Linked DNA regions of Saccharomyces cerevisiae S288C. The protein of the gene in region 1 interacts with the protein of each later gene in a biochemical or structural test. Each region holds a gene or a part of one and is shown on either strand. Other genes may lie near its edges.

Evidence for each region.
Region 2: of the proteins of MCM2 (region 1) and CDC7, one has a biochemical effect on the other in vitro, tested with the Saccharomyces cerevisiae proteins (14 studies listed by BioGRID).

The regions. Positions count from the first base shown.
Region 1 is NC_001134.8:174,354-179,146, forward strand, and holds MCM2 (MCM DNA helicase complex subunit MCM2), read right to left. Parts: upstream 3,174-4,793; coding exon 567-3,173; downstream 1-566. Other genes in the region: NCL1 (tRNA (cytosine-C5-)-methyltransferase), read left to right, coding at 1-235; ATP-dependent Lon protease PIM1, read right to left, coding at 3,521-4,793. UniProt on the Saccharomyces cerevisiae protein: Acts as a component of the MCM2-7 complex (MCM complex) which is the putative replicative helicase essential for 'once per cell cycle' DNA replication initiation and elongation in eukaryotic cells.
Region 2 is NC_001136.10:422,436-426,298, reverse strand, and holds CDC7 (serine/threonine protein kinase CDC7), read right to left. Parts: upstream 2,091-3,863; coding exon 567-2,090; downstream 1-566. Other genes in the region: trans-2-enoyl-CoA reductase (NADPH) TSC13, read left to right, coding at 1-297; ERP3 (Erp3p), read left to right, coding at 2,789-3,466. UniProt on the Saccharomyces cerevisiae protein: Serine/threonine-protein kinase. Needed for the initiation of DNA synthesis during mitosis as well as for synaptonemal complex formation and commitment to recombination during meiosis. Required for HTA1-HTB1 locus transcription repression.

The DNA.
Region 1 (4,793 bases):
AAATGACCCTGCCAAAGAAAACTTATTCTTGCCTGTGTGGAAAGGCAACAAGTGTATCAATTTGATGGTTTGTAAAGAAGATACTCATGAGCTATTATATAGGATCTTTGGTATTGATGCGAATGCCAAGGCTACTCCAAGCGCTGAAGAAAAAGAAAAAGAAAAAGAAACGACTGAATCTCCCGCAGAAACTACTACCGGAACCTCTACTGAAGCTCCTAGCGCTGCTAATTGATAGTTATCATGTTTCTTATCCCCTCCACTGTAAAGTAAATGTATATTATTAAAAGGCAAAAATAAGAATATAATACTTCAGTAATGAGCCTTTTTTATTCGGTCTTGTTACTTCTTTTTTACTTCATTTTTTTTTTTTTTTTTGGATAGTAAATAATGCACTTTTGACTAGATCTTGAGTATTTAGTTGAATTGAAATTAAAGATACAGTGTATAAAAATTATACAAAAAATAAAGGAAACTTGTATATTGAAAATAGGATTGCCAATACATGGATTGAGACAGAGAATTTTTTATCTTCATATCCAGATATTCGTAGGAATAACAAAGTTTTAGTGACCCAAGGTATAAATTGCGAAAGACCTGCGGAGTTGGCGGCGAACACTGACTTTTTGGGCATCAACAAAGGAATCAACTACAACTTTGATAGCTCTATCCAAATCATAAGAAGACACAAATTCAGATAATCTCATTTTAGCAAAAGATTCTGCAATTCTTAGAATAGATTCTAAATGACGAACTGTGATTGGAAACGAACCTGTAGAAATACTTTCTCTTCTCAAATCCGCATATACCCTGCTAACCTTATCCATATCCATCTGATGCAATTTAGGGTATATTTTTGTCCTCGCATAGTGAATATATTTCATCAATAATTCCTGTGGAATAGGCGAGATCTCTTCCTCCTTCTTCCTTTGTCTTTGAAGTCTTCTTTGCCTTGCATTAAGCTGCTCATTTATTTCATCTTCTCCTTGTTCTATCGCCGATTCGCCATTATTTTTAAGCTCTTCGCCTTCTCGATCTTCATCGTTTTCTGGATGAGATCTTACATGAGAATCGACAACAAATGTGGCCAATCTTTCGTCTGCCTCTTCATCAACAAGGTCTCTGACAACACATAAAATATCAAATCTAGACAGAATAGGCTCGGTCAAACTAACATTCTGAGCTAAAGGCAAGGTTGAATTATATCTACCACCATTAGGATTTGCCGCAGCAATAATTGAGCAGCGCGCTTGTAATGTAGTAACAATACCGGCCTTGGAAATGGAAATACTTTGCTGTTCCATAGCCTCATGAATAGATGTACGATCCTGATCGTTCATCTTATCGAATTCATCAATTAAACAAACACCCTTATCAGCCAATACTAGCGCCCCCCCTTCTAAGGTCCATTCTTTAGTAATAGGATCTTTTCTGACGGATGCTGTCAGACCGACAGCCGAAGCACCCTGACCAGTTGCAAAGACCGCTCTATGCGCTGTTTTCTCGACGTATTTTAAGATTTGAGATTTGGCAGTACCTGGATCACCTAATAATAACACATTGATATCACCACGAATAGAATGTTTTCCATTGACGTTTTTTGGAACACCTCCAAATAATGAGCACGCGACTGCAGTTTTAATATCTCTATGACCATAGATAGACGGTGCCATCGATGATATAATTTTATCAATTATACCACGATCCCTAGAAATCTTTCTAAATTCACGTTCTTCTTCTTCAGTCCAACTGAAAACATCCAACCCTTCTTCGCCTTCGTTAGCTGTATTGCCCTCTCTTCTTTTTATAGAATTTGCCTCGATAATTGTTGCAAAAACGGGGAATCCGTTCTTTGCATTCAAGTTACCATCGTAGTTATTTTTGTAGATGCCGGTAACTTCTACCTCTTCACCTGGCTTGGATACATCTACCAAATCCGCCAACAAAATGACTTCTCTATGTCTTGGTAGACGGCCTGGAGGAACGGTTCCGGGAGCTTCCTGGAGCGTAACCCTTTGATAATTTCGGTACACAGTTTTTTCTCCATTGACTCTAAAGGGACCTTTTGATTTGCAGTTTGTACAGAATGAGATTCTAATTTCTTCATTAGAATCTTGAAAAAATGGGCCCAAAATGGAGCCACATTTCAAACAATTGAATTTGACATATTTTAATTGAGGGAAGACTCCTGTTCTTCTTGTCACCACCCCAGTGACGCGTACTAGAGAGGACAAATTAGACTCACGCAATTCACGTAAACTGTATATTGTTGGAAAATCAGAGATTCTTACGTGAATTTCGGAGTGAATACGGGCATAATCTGGGTAATGCAATTCTGTTGCCTCCATAGCCACGAGATCGAATATTTTCAACATTTCTTCTGGACATTTAGCTAAAAATAGTGCCAGGATGGCTTTGGACTCCGCTAAGTGTCTATAATTAACCTCCAAAGATTCAGAATTCATTTCACCTAATGTTCTAATACGTGCACCATATACAGAACGACCCGTTTCATCTGTATATTCCAGCAGGAATGATTTTAACTCTCTGGCAATAGTTCTTGAGACATTAGGTTGTGTTATCCATTCCGAGTAACTGTTAGCCTTAACGTTACTCAGAGATTCTAAAGTAAGTTCTTCTCTTAATGGGTCAATGTCCATGTCACTCAATAGATCGTCATCACTATTCTCTAAGTCCTCATACTGCCTTCTCCTTCTTCGTCTTTGCACAGGAAGGCCCATTTCATCAAGTTGCGCTGCACCTTCTTGTTCTTCGTCCTCGTCATCTATGTAGGCAACATTTCTCAATAGCCTATCTCTTTCATTTAGTTGAGCATCAATGCGGCGACGTTCGCTTAAAGATAGTTCTTGTTGTTCCCTGTCGTCAACTTGATCTGGATCATATCTATCTCTATTATGATCAGCCGCATAATCCTCATACATATTATCGTCCATCAAATCTACTTCGTTCATTTGTTCTTCAACTTCATCAATATCTGGTACATCGTCAACTTCATTATCGTCACCTTCAGGGTTAATCATATCTGGAGAACCAATAGGTGATGAAACTGGGTTCATCCCCCCTCTAAAATGTTGCTGAGGTGAGGATGGCGGTAGCTCATTTTCTGAGTCCGAATCATCTTCCTCACGTCTACGTCTTCTATTATCAGACATCACTTATATTGTAGTTGTGTTATACTTCTTAGAAAAGAGGCAAAGAGGTGTGTGGAGTATTATTAAGTAAACTGTACCAAAATGTGTAGATTATAGGATATTCACCATTTACTTTCTGGTTTCGTTTCTCGAAATTTTTCGTTGTCCTATTTTCTTCGGTAAGTAATTAGATTTCCTAAAAAAGGCATATGATAAATAATATTACACGCGATTCCGCCATCTTGGGTTTCCCACATACATACTTCACGAAGAAAAGAAAGAATTTAGTATTGTGTAATAAAATTGATGTTTATGTTTAAATATTTACAGAATGTTTAAACAGGTATTTAATCCATTTAGATGAAAAGTTAGTCCTTTTCCTTTTTAGCATCCAAAATCTCAAATTCAGCCTTCCATACTGAATTACCTTCTTTCGTATTCACATCCTTGAATAATTTTTGGAATATATCATTATACCAATCAGCAGCTAAAGGTTCCAACCCTTCCTTTACATTGTCTGGAAGTTCCTCCCAATCATTTAAGTTATCTTTAGGGAAAATAATAGTCTTGGCACCAGATCTTTTAGCGGCCACAGCTTTTTCTCTCAACCCACCGATACGTAAAACTTTACCGGTAAGTGTCAATTCACCGGTCATCGCAACCGTTGGGTCAATCGACTTATTCAATGCTAGGGAAAGGAAGGAAGTGGCCATAGTGACACCTGCAGATGGACCATCTTTAGGGGTAGCACCTTCAGGACAATGCAAGTGGATAGACGCCTTTTCAAAAAATCTGTTCTCAGGGAATTTTTGTGCTAAATACATCTTGGCGAATGAATAAGCAAGCCTTGATGATTCCTTCATAACATCTCCCAGTTGCCCGGTCCTTTCAAATGTTGGATGCTTGCAGTTGTGTAAAGGTTGTTCAAGGACAGATTCTACATAAAGTGAGCAACCTCCCATATTAGTCCACGCCAACCCCATAACTACCCCTGGTGGAGTTGTTTCGTATAACCGGTCTGTAGTGTAGACTGGAGGCCCAACGTAATCTTTTAGGTTTTTCTGGGATATGGAAACATTGATCTTTTCAGAGGTCTTTAAGGCTTCAATGTCATCGCTTGTCTTTTCCGAATTATTGTCCTTAGTCTTCTCCGATGAGCTTTTGGCGTTATTTTCCGCCTTTTCTTCGGAAGAAACGCTTTCTTTAGGCTTGCTGTCGGCTGATGACGTTGGGGAATCTTCAATACTCAACTTCTTTACCACTTGTAGGGCTGCTTTACGGTATATTTTCTCGATGTGTTTTTTCAAATTCCTTACACCACTTTCTCTACAGTAGTACTTCATTAACGCTGTTATTGCATCTTCTGTCATATCAACATGAGAGTTTTCTAGACCAGCGCTTTTCTTGGCACTTGGAACTAAATACTGCTCGGCAATCTTAACCTTGTCTTCAGCAACATATCCTGTCAACTCAATGACTTCCATACGATCCAGTAAAGGTCTTGGAATAGTTTCCAAAGAGTTAGCAGTGCAAACGAAAAGCACTTTTGATAAGTCAATAGGAATATCCAAGTAGTTATCCAAGAAGCTGTTGTTTTGTTCAGGGTCCAATACTTCTAACAATGCCGCGGACGGATCGCCG
Region 2 (3,863 bases), on another chromosome or scaffold:
TCAGAACTATGGAACTTTTATTGCCACATTAAATTGCGCCTATGGGGTGACTATCAAAAGAAGCATGGTAACGCTAAGATCCGTGTCCCATTGAATCAAGGTATTTTCAATCTTTTTGTTGCTCCCAACTATACTTTTGAAGTTTGGTCTTGGATTTGGTTTACTTTTGTGTTCAAGTTCAATTTATTTGCCGTTTTATTTTTGACTGTTTCAACAGCTCAAATGTACGCATGGGCTCAAAAGAAAAACAAAAAGTATCATACCAGAAGAGCATTCTTGATTCCATTTGTATTTTGATCCTCCTGTTTGCAACATGCCCAAATGCAAGGTAAAGAGATATTAGCTTTCACGAAGTGGCGTAGTAGCACTATTGTTTAAGTATCGTCTGCACCTGTGCCTTTTGGTATTTGGCACTATCTTAAGCGCATGCCACCAATTATGCTAAACCGTTTCACTTTAAGAAATTTTTATTTAAATCTTTCACTATGCAAATATGTAAGTACTTTTAAAATTCTCTTTCCAAAGAAAAGGAAATTATTTCAGACTAGCAGTAATTTATCACTTTGCTATTCAGATATTAGGAGAACATCCTTATCGAGCAAATCTGCCTCGCTTGAGCTGACAACGTCATCTTCGTCAGTACTCTCGCCATCCAGTAAATATGTGTTTTCATTCAATTCATTGAAAAACGGGGTTTTCAGTAAATCTTCTGCTGAACTACGCTTTTGAGGATCCATTTCGAAGCATTGTTCCAAAACCTGGAAGCACCAATAATGATCGGACCAAATTTCTTCTTGATACTTTTTCAACTCATAGGCATCAACAGCATCCATATTTGTCTTGGGGTCAGGTAATTGAGGTTCAATGGACATCCTGTCATGTAATTCTTGTTGTAGAAATCCGAATGTTTCAAAAGCAACACTGTACTCAGGGAACGTACCTATGGTACATTCTTTATTAAGCAAATCATAAACAAATTCCTTCAATCCATTAGAATATCCGTTTGGTTTATCCCAAATGAGCCCACTAGCTTCGAAACCCAATCCATGCAACGCTGCGCATTTTCTTAATTCTTTCCAACCAAAAATAGTACATAACTCTAGCAAAGAATCCGCATCATCTAAACTTTGGAACATTGGAAATCTTCTGCCCAAAAGACTTAAAAGAATAACACCTACGGACCATATATCAATCTTTGTGCTTTGAGCCCCACACTTCATTAACACTTCTGGTGCCCGAAATCCACGAGTCCCTGCTCTATTAGCCCTTTTAATTCTACGCGTTTCATTTTTAGGATAACCCTTTGTCAGATCCACCCCATTTACATTGTTTAAGTGGACGACCTTGCCATTTTGTATGGTGACCATAGGAGGTGTTTGGTTATGTGAGTTAGGAGAATATTGATTACGCATAATGCATGGACAAAATTGTTCGTGATTCCTCATTGAATATCCACCATCATGGTTTGTATTTGCATAATTGTCGTAATCGTTTTGACTAGATATCATGCTTTTATAATCCATTTGAGCCTCGGCTAGACCAAAATCAACAAGCACTCCACGCCCCAATTCCAAATTAAATAAAAAATTTGTCGGTTTGATGTCTCTATGAATAATTCCCTTCGAATGAACAAACTTCAATGCTCTTAGTAGCTCCCAAATGTACTTCTTGATTCCCTTGATTGGTAGATCCCTGTAGAAAGTTCGGAACTCCTCGTGGGGATAGTACGGTAAAACAGCAATGACTTGATCTCGCACCCTTTTTGCATCACATAGAGGGGCTACTCTCGAAGATCCCGTCATTATGTACAGCAGGTTGAGCTCATTATAAATTCTTTGCGGTGACGAGGTAACGTATATTTTCTTCAAAGCAACATAGTTCGAACCATAATTCCAAAAATGTGATGCAAATTTTTTTGTTATTTTCCCAGTGATATCTTTGGCTTTATACACTGACGAAAATGTTCCCTCACCGATCTTGTCTATGAGTTTATATTCATTTTCTATACCCGGTAGATCATGATAGAGCTGTATCATCTCTTCTTTGATTTCTGGAGGTATATCATCGATATTCTTCGTTTTGCTTGTCATTATGATTGTTCTACTTCGAAACTGCCTCTTTCCTAAGAAAATTAGATAATAGCACAATTGTTATTGAAAATTTAAGGTAGTCTGTTACTTCCCGTTACGCCTGCTGAGCGGTTTTTTTTGTTAATGGTTCTTGCATTGATTTTAGGCGGAAATGTGAAGTGCTCTTCTACTCACTAAATTGATGCCGTTCAAGAAGACGCCCCAGGGCAAAGAAGACATAATTTAAAAGCTGACCGGGGACAAATGTTTAAGATTTATGTAGGCCTAAGGCGTTTATCGAGCTAAACGGGAAGTAATTTTACTCTATAAAATGTCATCTACACAAGCATTGCCCCATTAGATTCTTAATTATCTTCAAAACCAGGGCTACACCTTAATTTCCCAAGCTAAAAACATGCTTATATAGAGGTTTAAAAAAAAAGCGTCGTTCGTTGATAAAGTTTACGAACGTATCAGTATGATCGCGTAGGTTTCCACATACTACTTAGACTTCCTACACTGTCATGGTCATTATGTCAACAAAGGTGAGACCAACGCGTCCTGACCTGAATTTTTCTCTCTTTAAAACAGAACGCGTTCTTCATAATCCTCTCCTCAATGAAAGAATTTGGGGGGACAATATCTTGACAGAAACTGGTAAGGCTCTTGATAGTTACCGTACTTGAAGGGACACTGTGAACTGACTAAAAAACTCCGTCATGTCCAATTTATGTGTACTTTTCTTCCAGTTTTTTTTTTTAGCACAATTTTTTGCTGAGGCATCACCGTTGACATTTGAACTGAATAAAGGTCGAAAGGAGTGCTTATATACGCTAACTCCGGAAATTGACTGTACAATCTCATATTATTTTGCAGTACAGCAAGGAGAGAGCAATGACTTTGATGTTAACTACGAAATATTTGCTCCTGATGACAAAAACAAGCCAATAATCGAGAGATCTGGTGAACGTCAAGGTGAATGGTCATTTATAGGCCAACATAAGGGAGAATATGCTATCTGCTTTTATGGTGGTAAAGCACACGACAAGATTGTTGATCTGGACTTCAAGTACAATTGTGAACGCCAAGATGATATTCGAAATGAAAGACGCAAGGCGAGAAAGGCGCAGAGAAACCTGAGAGACTCTAAAACCGATCCCTTGCAAGACAGTGTGGAAAATTCTATAGACACCATAGAAAGGCAGCTCCACGTTTTGGAACGTAATATACAGTACTATAAAAGCAGAAACACCAGAAATCATCACACCGTTTGTTCAACAGAGCATAGAATTGTAATGTTTTCTATTTACGGCATATTATTAATCATCGGAATGAGCTGCGCTCAAATTGCCATACTGGAGTTCATTTTCAGAGAATCGAGAAAGCATAATGTGTAAATAGTTGTGTATTGTTCCTGCATTTTCTATCAACTTGAGAATATATGTTCTTCATATTTAATAGGGGAAAGGAATGACATACCGTATCCAAAATAGCCCTTTTGCTCATGTTAAATCTTATGTAATGACAGAGCTGAAGTGACGTTTCTATTAAAGCACATGTCACGATTTAAAAAATCCTATTTCAAAATGTAGCATTGTTTTCTTCGAGAAATTGACAAAATAATCTTTGTAAGAGTAATTTTTTCTTAGCCATTGGCATATGCACCATGCAATTTCCACCTATTTAATTACACTTGCAGTCAATCAACTCGCTTGGGGATGGTATTCCTCTTGGAGTGTTAAACTATATTTTTAGTGAAAGAAGTGATAAGCAAGTGTGCCAGAAAATACAAGG